Astyanax mexicanus: one gene and its partner. The protein of the gene in region 2 purifies or fractionates together with the protein of the main gene of each other region. This does not show direct contact. Links are inferred from orthologs where the notes say so. Each region holds a gene or a part of one and is shown on either strand. Other genes may lie near its edges.

The links. Proteins that work in one complex are often made in the same cells at the same time.
Region 1: the proteins of zeb2b (region 2) and mta2 purify together in Homo sapiens (affinity purification with western blotting; 3 studies listed by BioGRID and IntAct, with this or other methods). This does not show direct contact. The link is inferred for Astyanax mexicanus from reciprocal best matches to the Homo sapiens genes ZEB2 and MTA2.

What each region holds. Positions count from the first base shown.
Region 1 is NC_064415.1:31,199,134-31,206,389, reverse strand, and holds the start of mta2 (metastasis-associated protein MTA2), read right to left. Parts: upstream 3,016-7,256; 5' UTR 2,603-3,015; coding exon 2,575-2,602; intron 1-2,574. Other genes in the region: eml3 (echinoderm microtubule-associated protein-like 3), read right to left, coding at 5,142-5,372, 6,592-6,722, 7,187-7,256. UniProt on the Homo sapiens protein: May function as a transcriptional coregulator. Acts as a component of the histone deacetylase NuRD complex which participates in the remodeling of chromatin.
Region 2 is NC_064412.1:34,804,974-34,812,687, reverse strand, and holds the start of zeb2b (zinc finger E-box-binding homeobox 2b), read right to left. Parts: upstream 3,256-7,714; 5' UTR 2,935-3,255; intron 1,327-2,934; 5' UTR 1,198-1,326; coding exon 1,125-1,197; intron 1-1,124. UniProt on the Homo sapiens protein: Transcriptional inhibitor that binds to DNA sequence 5'-CACCT-3' in different promoters. Represses transcription of E-cadherin. Represses expression of MEOX2.

The DNA.
Region 1 (7,256 bases), on a different chromosome or scaffold from region 2:
AGGTCCATATAGGTATAAAAAAAACTAACATGTTCAGGTTTTTAGGCAAAAATATGATTATTGAAGTGTGTTAAAAAGCCTTGAACAAACAGATCTCTAAATAGTCCACACAACAGATCACAAACATACACAATTTAAAGCAAAGCAGCGTGTGTGTGAAAAATGGTGATTTTACAAACCCTCTTCCTTCCCACTTTACACTCCGCCGGCTCTTTGATCACTGACAGTGGTGCACACTATAGACGCCAAAGGGGAGACCCTCATGAGAACTGCGCATCAGCCATACAGATAATTTCCCCTCAAAAACATTCTTCTTCTATTTTTTTAACTGTTACACCAGTAAAATAACCATCAATTTGAGCAACAATGCTCTCACTGAAGTGCTCCACAGAATCAGACAGGAGCTGTGTGGATAAAGGTCCAAATCAAGAGAAGCAGGATTGAGTCTACGGTGGTTAACAGAATTGCAGCATCTTCATCATCACTCTGACTGACCTATTTACAGTCGCTCTTAGAGCTCCATCTACACATTTAAACACAATAAGTCAAACCGTGTTAAAACCCAGCAGTGGAAAGAACCTTGATGAAACCTGATAACCTGTAAAATGCTGACTACTCCTAGATCAGTTTGTGTTGCGTTGTGATAAGGGTTGCAGCAGTACCAATTAGGGGTGGGCGATATCGTCCTAAAATTTATCACGATAACGATACTCTTGGCGAAATGACAAACCACTGAATTAAATTTTTTTTTTCAAGAACACACTACTGCAAAAAATATATATTTTTATTGTATTATTTGATTCAATATGATATTATTATATGAAGTTAGGGGTGCACCATATTAAATAATGCAAGAATTTTTATCAGATTTAAAACAGAAGTCAATCACCCAGAATGTCATGATGCTAATAATGCACTCAAATACCTCCATCTATCCAGGACTAAAATGAATGAATGGTACTTGTTAAAAGTACTGGCTATATCACATTTAATGCTGACTATTCTTAAAGAAAAAAAAATATATATCAACTGATATGATACAATACCGATATTATCGTGCATCCACACTTTAACCATTTTCTGTAATCATAAAAATGTACAGTTTGGTCAGTGTTTTAGGCACTAAAGATATAAATCTTTGATATGCCTATTAAAGCATATGGTCAAGAAAATAAAAAAATGTATTACGGTCCAGTAAAATAATCACAGTATCGCCCAGTTGTAGCCAGCAGCGTGCTGGATGTGACTGTAGCTGTCAGACAGAGTACAGCTCAGATAAAAGAGCAGCTGTTCTGTCCTAAATCCTGCTCCCAGAGAGTTCAGCAGCTCGTCATAATGTTCATAAAGTGCTCAAGAATAAAGCCTGACAGGAGAGAAGCTGTGGGGTCCTGGACCGATTGCGCTCTTTCTCTTTCTCTCTGTGAGGCATTACTGTAGTACTGTGGTCGGGCTGTTACTATCGGTGACGGTGTGTTGAGTTTTCTAGCTCTTCAGCATTCAGAGTTACAGTTTACTCGCCTACTTGGACTGCAAACTGGTGTTTTACAATTTAACTCTCACTCAAAAAACGAGTAAATACTTATCTAGTTCCTGTTCTGTATCCAAGCGAAAATAACTGTTATAAGTTAGGCTTTAATACCTAAACAACCACAGGGCGCCGGTTAACTAAACGAACCTAGTTAGCTAAGCTAACTAACAATAACTAACGCTAGGTAACGTTAACTAAATAACTTAAGATACTTTATTAACCTTTTTCTTTAAAACTCTTTCCCTCTTTACTCTTATATTGGAGTAACGCTCTGGTAAACCGTTTAAAACAGATAGCTAGTTATAGGTTAGCTCGCCTGCTAACTAAACTTAGCTAGTTAAATAACTTTTCTTCTTAGCAATATATGCAATCATAGTTACAAAGTGCAAAACGTTATTCTTCACACAAATCTAACTTAATGCAAAAGGAAAATATGGAATACAAAAATAAATAAAAACAAAAGGAAAAAGGGGATCATATCTACAGCTAGAAAGATAAATCAGAAATATTTATTTTTATCTTCTTAATAACAATAATAAACTGCATCTGTGCATTTAGGATGCGAGATAGCTCCAACAGTGCAGCATGGGGGGAATTATAAGCTAAAACATCTGTTTATGGACACTGGATTTAGCAAAAGTAATACAATATAAAATCGTATTTTTATTCGCAGTATTAAGGGCGTTTCTCAGAGTAAGTAACAGTTAAGTAAACTGTAGTTTTGGAAAGAAGACTCGTATAAAAGTTAGTTGTAAAAGCTTTCCCAGAAACTCTGAGAAACAACACATTCAAAAATAAATGAAAAGCTAAAGCTAAGCTAAGCTAACGCTAACTAAGCCGGCCTTTGTAAAGAAGGCGGAAATAAAAAAAAACACGCCACCAAATGAGAAAAGGCGCTAGCACGCTAGTTAGCATTTAGGCTAACGAGTCGACTAGCAGACTATTAATCAGCCCGTTAGCCGCAGCGGCTAGCGTTAGCAGGCTGGCTAACCCGCTCGCACAACAATCCCCGTTTCGGCGGCGGAACCGCTGATTAAAACGCTCACCTCCTACTCGGTACATGTTGGCCGCCATTCTCTCGCTCCCCTCCACGAACTCGAGCCCCGGGATTCCCCTCCTCCTGCGCGCGCTGAAGCCGAGCGGCGGCGGCTTTAGTCCCGCATGTATCGGCGGACTCGGCGCTGGCGGAACAAAGCCGGGGAGCCGGCACGGTGAGCCCGAGCGGCGGCGGCGGGAGAAAAGTTCAAACTTTCCGTCTCGGTGAGAATCCGCGGATGTAAAACGCGCCTCCGCTCCGGTCCGGTACCGACACAGCCGCTCCGCTACCCCTCACCGGCCACTCACGCGCTCAGCCTCGCGGGCATGCACCTACAGTCATCGGCTAGCTAGCCAGCCTGTCTCTCTCTCTCACTCTCTCACTCTACTCTTCCTCCCATCCTCTGCTCTCCCAGCTTCATCCTCCTCTTCTTCACCTCCGCTCGGCTCACCCCTCCTCCCCCCTTTTCTTAAACGTCATCTTCGGAAGCGCGAAACGTCACCTAGAGCTCGGCCCGGTCTCGAGCTTCACCGGAGAGCCTGCTGTCTGATAGAACTAGCGAGTGAGGTATCACTTCACTTCTACAAAGAACTTAAATGTAAAAAAAGCAGTTTAAAGAAGAAAAAAGCAGATTAAAATAAATATTTCATGATTTACTATAGATGTGAATCACGTCCCCGCCTTTTCCAATTTTGTTTTATTTTTTATTTATTTTAATATATGTTACAAATATTTTTTATTAGACATTAATAATCCCCTATCTGTTGGAGCTCTCACACATTTCTATAGTCTTTTTGCAAACAAAAAAATCTCATTCGTATCCTATAAATTTGACCCCCTTGTCCCCTCTTTTTCCTTTTACTGTTTTTATTTTTCCACTATTATTTTTTTTCTCTTTATATATTTGAAGAATTGTGTATTATATGTTGCACATTTACATATGTTGCTAAGTTTGCAATCTAAAAAAAATATGTATGGAGAAGTTTCAGGCTTGAAACTGCTGCAAGCCTCATTTACTACAATACCTGTAACTGGTTACAATGTATTATTGAATTTGGAATCTATACATTGTGTCACAATTTCAATTTGACGAATTAAAAATTAATTAAAAAATTAAGCCTAAATTTAGTAGATAATATTTTGTATCTGAAATGAACAACAAGAAAAAACTGACTTCCACTGTACTTCCATCCATGCCTATATCCAGCTTCTTTTTGGTCACTGTGGCCGCAAAAATTTTAACTCATTAAAACCCATTTTATTATACAAGAAATATAAATATATTTCACCAAATTGAAAACATCTGGAATGTAATCAAGAGGAAGATGGATGATTACAAACCATCAAACCAAACTGAACTGCTTGAAATTTTCACCAATAGTGGCATAAAGTTATCCAAAAGCAGTGTTTAAGACTGGTGGAGGAGAACATGCCAAGATGCATAAAAACTGTAATTAAAAACAGGGTTATTCCACAAAATACTGATTTCTGAACTCTTAAATCTTTATGAATATGAACTTGTTTTCTTTGCATTATTTGAGATCTGAAAGCTCTGCATCTTTTTTTGTTATTTTAGCCATTTATCATTTTCTACAAATAAATGCTCTAAATAACAAAATTTTCATTTGGAATTTAGAAGAAATGTTGTCCGTAGTTTATAGAATAATACAACATGTTAATTTTACCTATAAATAGCAATGGTCTCTATTTTTTCCCAGACTGTATATTTAGTTATTAAATCAGTGAACAGTAAATTTGGTTAAATTGATCTCTGTGCTCCTACCGCCCCCTTTTGGTTGCAGGCCCACAATGCACTGTTACAATTTCACCTTGGTCCTCTAGAAGGCGCTGTGTGATTCACGCAGCGCTCGAACGCCTCCTGATCCTTTTTGTGATTTGTAGTTCTCAACTTCAATTTTTCTATACAGTTACTGTCTATTACAGAATAGATAATCTAAGAAAAGGAAGGACAGTGTTCTCAAAATCATTCAGTCATATTTCAGTTAATATATAATACATACAGCAGACTCAGATGGTTTTGGTTTAATAGTGTGATGACACACAAACACATTTATTAAATCATAGCCAGACAGCGCACAGAGAACAAACTGAAGAAACAGTTCACATCTACAAATCAGCAACAGGTCAGTAATGTAAACATGTACTGCAACGAGTAAAGGGTGATAAATGAAAGACTTGCTTTGGAATGACCATCTTGAGATGATTGTCTATAAAGGCACGTACAAGCCTTTCACATTCCAGAATTATCAACATAAACGTAACGTAATGTTAATAAAGTCAAAGTATAAGATCAGTTTACTTTACATAAACATAAGCTGTTTGACACACACACAGACACACACATCATTTGTCCTGTTGTCTATAAAATTGGAGTAATATAGTAACATGTAAACCTGATATAGTGAATGTTGATGCAACACTGACTTCCTTTTTGGCCATGAAAATCTGTTAAAGACCACCATAAACATTGCATCCTCTCAGCACAGTCTTCCTAATGCTGGATTTACTCTAGATTGTGCAATACCATATTCTTCAACATATTCTTTGTCACTCTCTTCATCCCATCTCTTTCTCCTTCTGTTTCCCAGGTTCTGAGGAACTGTTAAGGGAAGTGGGTGGAGGAAGTGAAGAGGTTGGGTGTTCCTTTTCTGCAGCCCCGCTCCTCTTGACTCGCCACTGGAGGATGCATGTGTCCTTCCCACCCAGTGACAGAAGGTGACTGTCGCAGTGGGTGAAGCGTACGTTGGTCACATGACTGCCATGGCCCTCATACCTGTGACTTGGTGCCTAAAAAAAAGAAGGGAAGGAATCGTCTCAGAAGAAAACATTTCACACAGCCACACGACTAAACTACACTACCAGTCAAATGTTCCATGAAAATATCCAGACTATGAAGGAACACACAAGGAATACTGTACTCTGTGAAGCATTTAGGTGACTCTTATCTGAGGTATTGGTACCTTGCAGTTTCTGAGGCTGGTAACTCTGATCAACTCATCTGTGCAACAGAGGTAACTTTTTGTCTTCCTTTTCTTGAGTGAATACTTATTTTAAAAGTTCTTAATATTTTTCAGATTGACTGTAAAGTATCTAGAACATTACTCAAATATGGCTATTTATTGTATACCAACTCTACCTCCTCACAACACAACTGTTCTCAAACACATTAAGAGTATAAGTAATGAACTTTTTAGTTCAGAAAAGCTATTAACTTAAAGCCATTCTGGGTGACTCTACCTCATAAAGCTGACTGAGAAAATCCAGCCAAGATGTGCAAAGCTGTCATCTAAGCAAGAGGTGCCTACTCTAAAGAATCTAAAATATAAAACATATTCTGGTTTGTTCAACACTTTTTGTTTACTCAATAATTCCACATATTTTTCTTATAGTTGTAGTTTGTAGGACTTATAATGCATAAAATATTTAGAGAATGAATCTAAGGTGTGTTTAAACTTTTGAATGATACTGTATATGTATGGGAAACCTGAATTTTTAAAAATAATATCACTTTTGTGTTCATAAGTAAGAAATATTGTATACTTAGTATTTAATGCAAACTCACAGTAAACTGTTGTAAACTGAAAGTAAATCCAGCTTATTTGATAAAATCACATGTCCACATGTGGACACCCCTTTTAAAGAATGAATTCATGTACATTGCTTCCATTGCTGACAAATGATGATCAACACATGCCCCCCATCCTTAACTTCACCTCTAGCCCTATCTATTGGAGATACTGCTCTACAGTGCTCTAGTTCCTGTAGAGCAGTGTCACCAATAGATTAAGGCTCTGGAGCAGATTAACATGGGGGGGCACGTGATGATCATCCACCTCCTTGAACTCACTAACGCTTTATAACTGAATGCAAGAAAATTCTTACATAAAAGCTACAAAATCTAGTAGAAAGCAAGAGAAACTATTTTTAAGTCACAAAAAACAGGGGCCCAATACTTTTAGTTCCATTTGTGATACCAAAGAAATTATACTGTAAACATTATACTGACCTTTGGTTTAGGACATGGATACTGGAATAAGTGGACTTTGCAGAAGTCATCTGCCACTGCCACTATTCGCTCGCTGTGAGAGCGACACAGAGCGTTGATATCGGTCCCATCCGAACCCTCCAGCCACACACCTGCACATTAAAAACATCAGAAAAGCACCCTATTACAATACATGCAGTACGTACGTATGACTTCAGCTGCTCTAACACGACTCAACTGGGTAATAAACTCCCTGCAGACAAGCCTGAGGCACATTTTATAAAGCATTAATACTGCATGTGTATAATACAGTCACCAGAGACCTGCTGTCATTATTTATTAGAGGGAGGAGAATGCAGGTACATTTTAAAAGCATATATACAGTACATATAAGTTTACCACCATACTACATTTTATGAATATAAAGAGAAAAACAATAAAAGGATTTAACATGCTTGCCCACATTTTTATATATTTTTTCACTCTACGTTCACACTGAAGCTACAATCAAGCATTAATCCTTTATAAACAAATAAATCCTTTATGAACAAATTAATTAAAAACAATCAATCATCAACAGTTCTTGCATATTCTGCTTTTGTTGTGCCTCTCTTACCCATGACATGGAAGCCCAGCACACATGTATAGGAGGCCCATTCACGATCCTTACTCTCGTAACGGTTTCG
Region 2 (7,714 bases):
TTAATCCCCGTGAAAGAGCGGAATTAAAAAACTAACACAGACACACACACACGCAAATACACACACGGCGAGCGCTAGCAACACTAAGCAACACTGGGCAACGCTGATCAACACTGGACACTGGGAGCGATATAGAATTTTATTAAAGCCAGTTGTACATAGTTGTACACAGCGGGTTTTAGCTACACATTGCCCTCAACAAATTAAAGTGTGAGGCGGCTTTATTGCAGGATTTAACTACCACAATACTGAAGGCACACACTCTTTTAAAAACGATAAAACACACCATAGCTCAAATGTCACTTAGAATAATAACAAGAGAAAAGCGACGGAATAAAAGTGTGCAACATAAAAAGCATTATACACAAAAGTACAATTTATAAAGAAAAGTGTTTTCCTATAACTATCAACTCCATGAGCTTTATCTAGCTATATCCAATTTAATTTATAATTGCCAGAAACGAAATGAAATGAACGAAAACGACCGCTGATGCTATTAGATGTATCAGATGATAATAATAATAATAATTATTATTATTATTAAAATAATTCCTCCCACAAACAAGAGAGCGTGCTGCCAGCCGTATTATCATACAAATCGCTATTGACGCCAGTGCCATCGTTAGAGCGCCTTACAACAGCGTAAACTGACACGCAACTTTAAAAGCGCTTTTTTATTCTGTAGCGTGAAGCAAACGAGCCGCGTGCTGCAAAACTTTTCCTCCACTCCACTCGCTCCAACTTCCAACAGCGCGAGCTGAAAGCACGCCTCAAAATAAATCAGATCTACACAAAAGAAGCTCTGCCAGTGGTGGACAACACTGGTTTTGCTTCGCTTTCCCTTTGAAACCGATTCGTTTAACCCCACAATGAGGAGATGCACAGCGGTAATAACAAAATAACGGTATCACGCGATGCGCGTCCATGCGCGTCCCGTCAGCCGGAGCTTTACCCCCCACCCTCCGACCATCAACACACACTCTCTCTCTCTTCTCTCTCCTTTTCTCGCTCTCACTCTCTCACTCCTTGTTTCTCTCACAGAGACACTCACAGTCCCACCACGACCACCGCTCTTCAGCCCACTATCAGTGTTATTAAGCTACTATTTAATAAATTCAGCTTACCGTTTTTCCTCCTCGGGTTGGCTTGTTTTCGCCGCTTACACCGGGGCCCATCCGCCATGATATGCTGCCTCATTGATGGGGAGTGTGTGTGTGAGTGTGTGGATGTGTGTGTGTGTGGATGTGTGTGTCTGGATCAGATGGCAGCAGCTCGCATGGACGCGACTCCTTCAGTCAGTCAGTCAGCAGCGCGCAGCCTCAGTCTCTGGCAAAACCAAACACACACAGAACAACAATGCAGGCGCTGCTCTCTTTAGCGCAAAAGCGCGCGCACACACGCGCAGGTACGTACAGGCGCAAATTTTGGACCATCCGCATCAGCGCTTGGAAATAACGTAGAAAATAAAACGGAACGTTGGAGACGAAAGTGCCCCAAACCGTGGGCGGGTGAGTGAGTGAGGGGCTGCGGGGGGCTAGGAGCTACACACCGCCGGTGGTGGGTGGTGGCGGGGTCCACTGCTTCAATGGGACATGCACGGCTGTAGGAATAACTGTATTAAATTAAATGTAGGCATGAATTAAATAGTATTAAATACTATAGGGAGACTGCTGTCTCAGTTTGCTTTCAGAGCCGGGACTGGTGATGAGCTTATTTATACATATATCAAACTGTTGCACACAAAATAAAAGGAGATAAAACAAGTAAACAAGTGTATTCACACATAGGACCGGTAAACAGGAGAGATCTTAACGCTGAAAATTTGTGTGGGATATTATTTACACGCTTAGACTTGTTTGTGGAAAATGGACTTTAAATATACATAACATTTGGTGCTGAAATTGTGGTGTTACCAGTTTACTGTTAACTGTGAACTGTAATGTAGACACCATTGGGAAAGTATTAAGTATTTTGTAATGTAAAGGAAAAAATTGGCTAAGAAAAAAAAAACGATTAAAAACTTTAATGAATTAAATTTGTTGTTGTCTATTACAATTATTACTACTACAAAACTGTATTAGTGGTACTAGTGGTAGTAGTAGTGATAGTATTGCTAGTACAATTTTCACGTATTTTGCTATACCTTATAATCATTATTGTTAATAATGTTTTATTATTTTTTAGTTCACTAAAATATAAACCATTTGTTTGCTTGGGTGTTATAATGTTTGTTTTGTGTGTTTGTTTTTTTGAAAAGTACAAACACTTAAAAGCAAAATAAATAGTTGCTGACTACTTTAATTTTAAACAATTAAAACTTTTTTCATCATCCTCATTCTAATGTCCTATTTTAGTAAAATCATTAAAACATTGTGCTGCTGCAGGAGTTTGTCTTGTAATAGGACGGCAGAGCAGGGAAAAGCGATTTAGACTAAGTGTACAAAGATAACATACGGCGCGAGGCACCGTTAGATTTCACCACTCACTGTCCCATCATATTTGTGAAAATATACCAATTAATATCTATTTTTGTTTTATCTGTCATCCTCATAGCTTGACATACAACAAAGGGAGAAGTAACTTTAAAAAATATTAATATCCATATACAGCACTGAATTTGTTAAAGTCACAATAATGGGAAAAATGTACAAAATTGATTTTTTAAGAATTCAGATGTTGTTCATATAAATAAATCCTGATCTTAATAAATCGTCCATTGAATAATTACAAAAACGACAAGCACACTTTTTTTTCAAGTTCACCTGTACAGGTGAACTTAAAGGTGAGCGCATCTCTCCAGCGCACTCCCACTCTCATCTTCCACTTTGAACTACATCTATAAATATAAATATTCACTTTATTTCTAAATACATATTCCAAGTCTTGAAGCCTATAAATTGCACATCTTTAAAGAGAGAAGGAAACAAGTCTTACCTTGTTGTTTACGTTTGTCTTAGTCGAGCTGGTTGCAAGGAATATAAAAAAAGGAAAGAAAAAAGGGGGGTTTGTAGAGCAGCCGTGGCGGGGCTTTTTTTGGAAGAGGGGGAAGAAAGCGGATCCGTGGGGTAAAATGTGGCAAAAAGGGTAAAAAGCCCGGGCTGTAGCTGGAGCAGCGTTATTCCTGGCGCGCAGGTTGGGACTGATCCCTTTCAGCCACTCCAGGAAACCAACCTGCGGACGGACTGACGTGTTACGCCTCCTCTAATGACATTTTTTTCTTCTCTCTCTCTCTCGCTCTCTCTCTCTCTCCTTTTCTTTGCTGTAACACAGAGAGATAGAGAGAGTGAGAGAGAGAGAATGGGGGAGAGCGAGAAGAGGCTGAAACACGCGCCACCTATCTTCACGGGGAGGGATAATTGAGGAGGACCAAACGTGAGCATCTTCTGGGAACCGTGAGAACTTTTCCTTCGCTTTCTTTTTTCCTCCTTTTCCCCCTTCCCGTTTCCCCGTTCGGTTTTTTTACAGCGCGGCAGGCAAAAGAAACCAAACCCCGACCTGTTCGCTTTACCTTTCCAAATAAATACGCTAAGTAAAGCTAAGCTAACGTGAAGACGGAGAGGAACATCTTCACAAAACAAATGTAGCTATATTTTAATAACAAAAGATTTAAACACCAGAAAGGACGAGGTTTTAGACTGAGACGAGTCAGAGTTTTCCCCGGCACGAGAAAAAGAGGGAAAGAAGTCGTCTTTTTCGGTGGGGTTTGTGTTTTAATTCGGTTTTAAGCCTCGTTGTGCTGCCGAGTTCTCCCTCACAGACTTTCCTCACCCGTCGTCGCCTCAGAAGCGGCGCGGATTTCCCGCCACAACTCGGGCTCGCGCCACGCGCGCCGCTCTTAAAGGGAAGGTGGCCAGGTGACAGGTAAGAAGAAACAGGTAAAACAAAATCCGACATGGATTTAACAAAAAAAACCCGGTTATTTTTAAGCTGGAAGTAAAGTAATACTGTTCTGTTTGGGGTGATAGAATATTTTTAATCTATTTTAAACCGTTTTAGCACATAAAGGAACATGTACACGGGAATTTTTAAGCTAATGTGAAAAAAGAAAAAAATGGGCACGCGCCCGTGCTGGGCGTGGTTATGAACCGGTTATGACTGTTTCTAAAATGTGTTTATTTTTTTTGTTTATTTGTTTATTTATTTATTTCGTAGTCCGCTAGAATCCGACGGAAGACTGGGAAGCCCCACCTTTTCTGAGGGGATGGGATTGGTGGGGTAAATAAAGCAGCGCTCCCTCCGTCCTCATCTACCGGAGGGATAATTAAATCATCAATCCGGGGGGTGAGGGGGAGATTTAGGGGCTGATGCGGGGGTGGGGGGCTTGTTTTGGTGGGGTTATTTTGGGGGTGGGGGGTTTCGGGGCTGCAGGATCAGTTGATGCTTTTGTTCAAAGCCAATCAGACCGGGGCGCAGGCGGGAAAGGTGCCTTAACATCCTCAACATCTGGAGCTGAGGAGGCGGCAGATGCGGGAGGGGGAGCTCCAGTCAACGGGACTGAGGCAGGAAATTCACAGGTATTATTATTATTATTATTATTATTATTATTATTATTATTATTATTATTATTATTATTATTATCACTAAAATATTTATCCTAATTTTGCTTAAAAATATTTTTACTTAATCTTCACAATTTATAATTATAATTATATATATATATATATTTTTCTGTTTGTTTTGTTTTGTTTATTATTCATAGTCATTTTGATGTTGTTTTAAGTACATTTGTTATATATGCTCTTTGCTGTTGTATGCACACAAAAATTATACTTGTTAATTATGTTAATTAAATATAGCCTACTGGCACTGTGTAATCTGCTCTACTACTTTCAACAAATTTGTAGACAAGTTTTATTGTGTTTTCTGTCTTTTCTATCAAATAAGTCTGATGGGTTTGACTATTTTACCCCTCAGGCTTCACAGTCCCGGTAGAGCAGCAGAGACCTCCGCTCTGGAGGATCCCCAGAAAGCAGCTACACTTACTGTAAGTACTGGATTACATGCATATCACACTGACTAACCACATATAGAGAGGTGCTGCATTATATAACAATATATAATGTGAAATGAGAAATCTCAGGCTTATATGAGTTTTAAACATTTTTCTTCTTTTTCTTTTCTTTTTTTGCTTTTTCTCTCTTTTTTGCTCTGTTTTCTCGCTGTCAGGCTGATCGCTGCCCCGATCTCACTGCACACAGCCTCCAACCTCCCAACCTCAGCAGCTCCTCCTGGTTTAAGAGAGGAAACAGGACACCCCTTAGCACCCTCCCTCTGAAAGCTGTGTGTGTGTGTGTGTGTGTGCCTGTGAGTATATATATATATGTGTGTACTTTCATTGGTTTTTTTTGCGGCTTGACCTGATCTCTTCATGACACCTTTACGAATGTCTGGCACAGTGCTGCCATTCAGGCGAACGAGTAATAGCAGATAACAGATTAATCAGGTTTAAATAAATAAATAAATCATAATTATTTTGCAATCACATCTGTAATATTATTTTATTATTTGTATGATGAGTCGCATAATACAGACTTAATTTGGCTGACATTTATATATGACACATTATATACACATTATGATCAGAAATAGCATGCTTTATGTATACATTTATAGAATGCCTGCAAACATATATGTAATCATATTTATGGTTGTATACTCATTTTTACAGTTTCTCCCCTTTTTTAACACAAAATTAAATTGTGTCAATATTTCATGATGAGTGAACCAATACAAATGCTGCAAAATGACTAGCAAAATGACTTTTATTAAAAGTATTTTTTGTAATACTGCCATTTTTAAGACACAAAGCTTTGTTAATTACATAATATGGTTGTTTTTTTTTTTTTTGGCACCTTAACGAGAATACGTTCTCTAGTCAGCATTCTCAATAGACAGACATTAATCAAACAGACTTTTACAGCTAAAATATATTAAAAATAGCTTTAATATCAAGTATTCAGGAATGCTTAAACATGCTTAACTACTGTAAACGCAGGGTTGAGAGCAAGCGGAGGAAAAACGTCTCGTCTGTCAAATGTAAACGCCTCACATTCCCGTTTGTAGACTGTCGTCGTCTTCTCGGTCTTCTCGCCCTTCTGTTCTGTTCTTAATATAGTCTTTGAACTGACTGAAATGAAGCACAATAAAGGCATACAGACATATACAGCTTATTCCAGCTAGGGTTGCATAGTATATCATTTTAATGTTATTATCATTATCATCATCATCATTATTATAACAATGTTTGCATGTGCAGTATTCACATTGCAGGACTTGCATATGTGCGAATGTAACGCAAATTTAATCAATCCCAAAACACAAAAATTTATATTGACCTGTTTACCTGGAGCTGAATATATTGGCTCATTTTTTTTTTCAGTACATTTTTTCAGTCTTCAGTACGTATAAGGAATTATTAATATCACAACCTGCTGAATCATTGGTGTATTTGGTGCAAACTCCTGTATTTATTTAGATATGAAATATATCACAATACATAATTAAAAACAACAGATAATTATTATTTTTTTTCATTATCAATATCATGTAGCCCTAAATATAGCACTGTTATTACATTATTTTGCTAGTTAGTATTTGTAAATGTGCCGTGCCTAAGGCAGCACGTCCAATGAATAATCTCTTTAAAAAAAGGCACAGGAGATAAATATCTGATGTTATCAGATCAGGCATTGGAGATAAATCTTTATTCGTAAATCTAAATTTGTTCACGTCGCTCCAACATAGTTTCACATTCATTCATTAATTTATTTATTCATTTATTAAAGAGAAAAGAGACTGAAAACAGCAGTAAGGACAGTAAGTGGATGTATGCGTTCATCCGGAAGTGTGTTTTATAAGACATATAATATATATATATATATATATATATATATATATATATATATATATATATGTCTCTGTGTGTGTGTGCTCTCTCACAGTGCCTGCTCCCTTTGGCTTCTCCCAACCAGTAGAGAAAAGGAAGTCCATGAGAAAGTCCCAGAAAATCTCACATCTGCAGCAGGGATGGAGCAGAGTACACACAGGTGGTAGGAAAAGAGCAAGCGCGAGAGAGAGAGAGAGAGAGAGAGAGAGAGAGAGTGTGTGTGTGTGTGTGTGTGAGAGAGAGAGAGAGAGTTAGAGAGAGAGAGAGAGTGTGTGTGAGAGAGAGAGAAAGAGGGAGGGGGGAAAGTTATTTCCTGTCTCTGAGAACATCCTCAGAGTGTTTTCTCTCCTTCTTTCTCTCTCGTTCTGTCACACACGTGCACACACCCTCTCCATCTCTCACACACACACACACACACACACACACACACACACACACACACATATGCACACACACACACACATATGCACACACACACACACACACACATTTTACACATTCTTTATGCAGTCATCTTGGAATCATTTTAACCCCTTAATCTCTGCTGAAAACTAAATATATACCGTGACACACCTTGTAAATAATAAATGGCATAATGATAAATGAGATAAATGATGTACAAATGTAATGTACTGTAATATTAGTTTTAAGTTTAATCAATTTTAAGGTTAATGTACAGTTAAATACAGAAATACTGACAGTATATAGTCTTAAATGATTCATCCGTTTAAGAGTTTAAACCTTTAACCCCTTAAACCTGTACATAGGCCCACAGTTTAATTTTTACCCTACATTAACTACTTTACTCTCAAAGTTAAATGTTCTCTA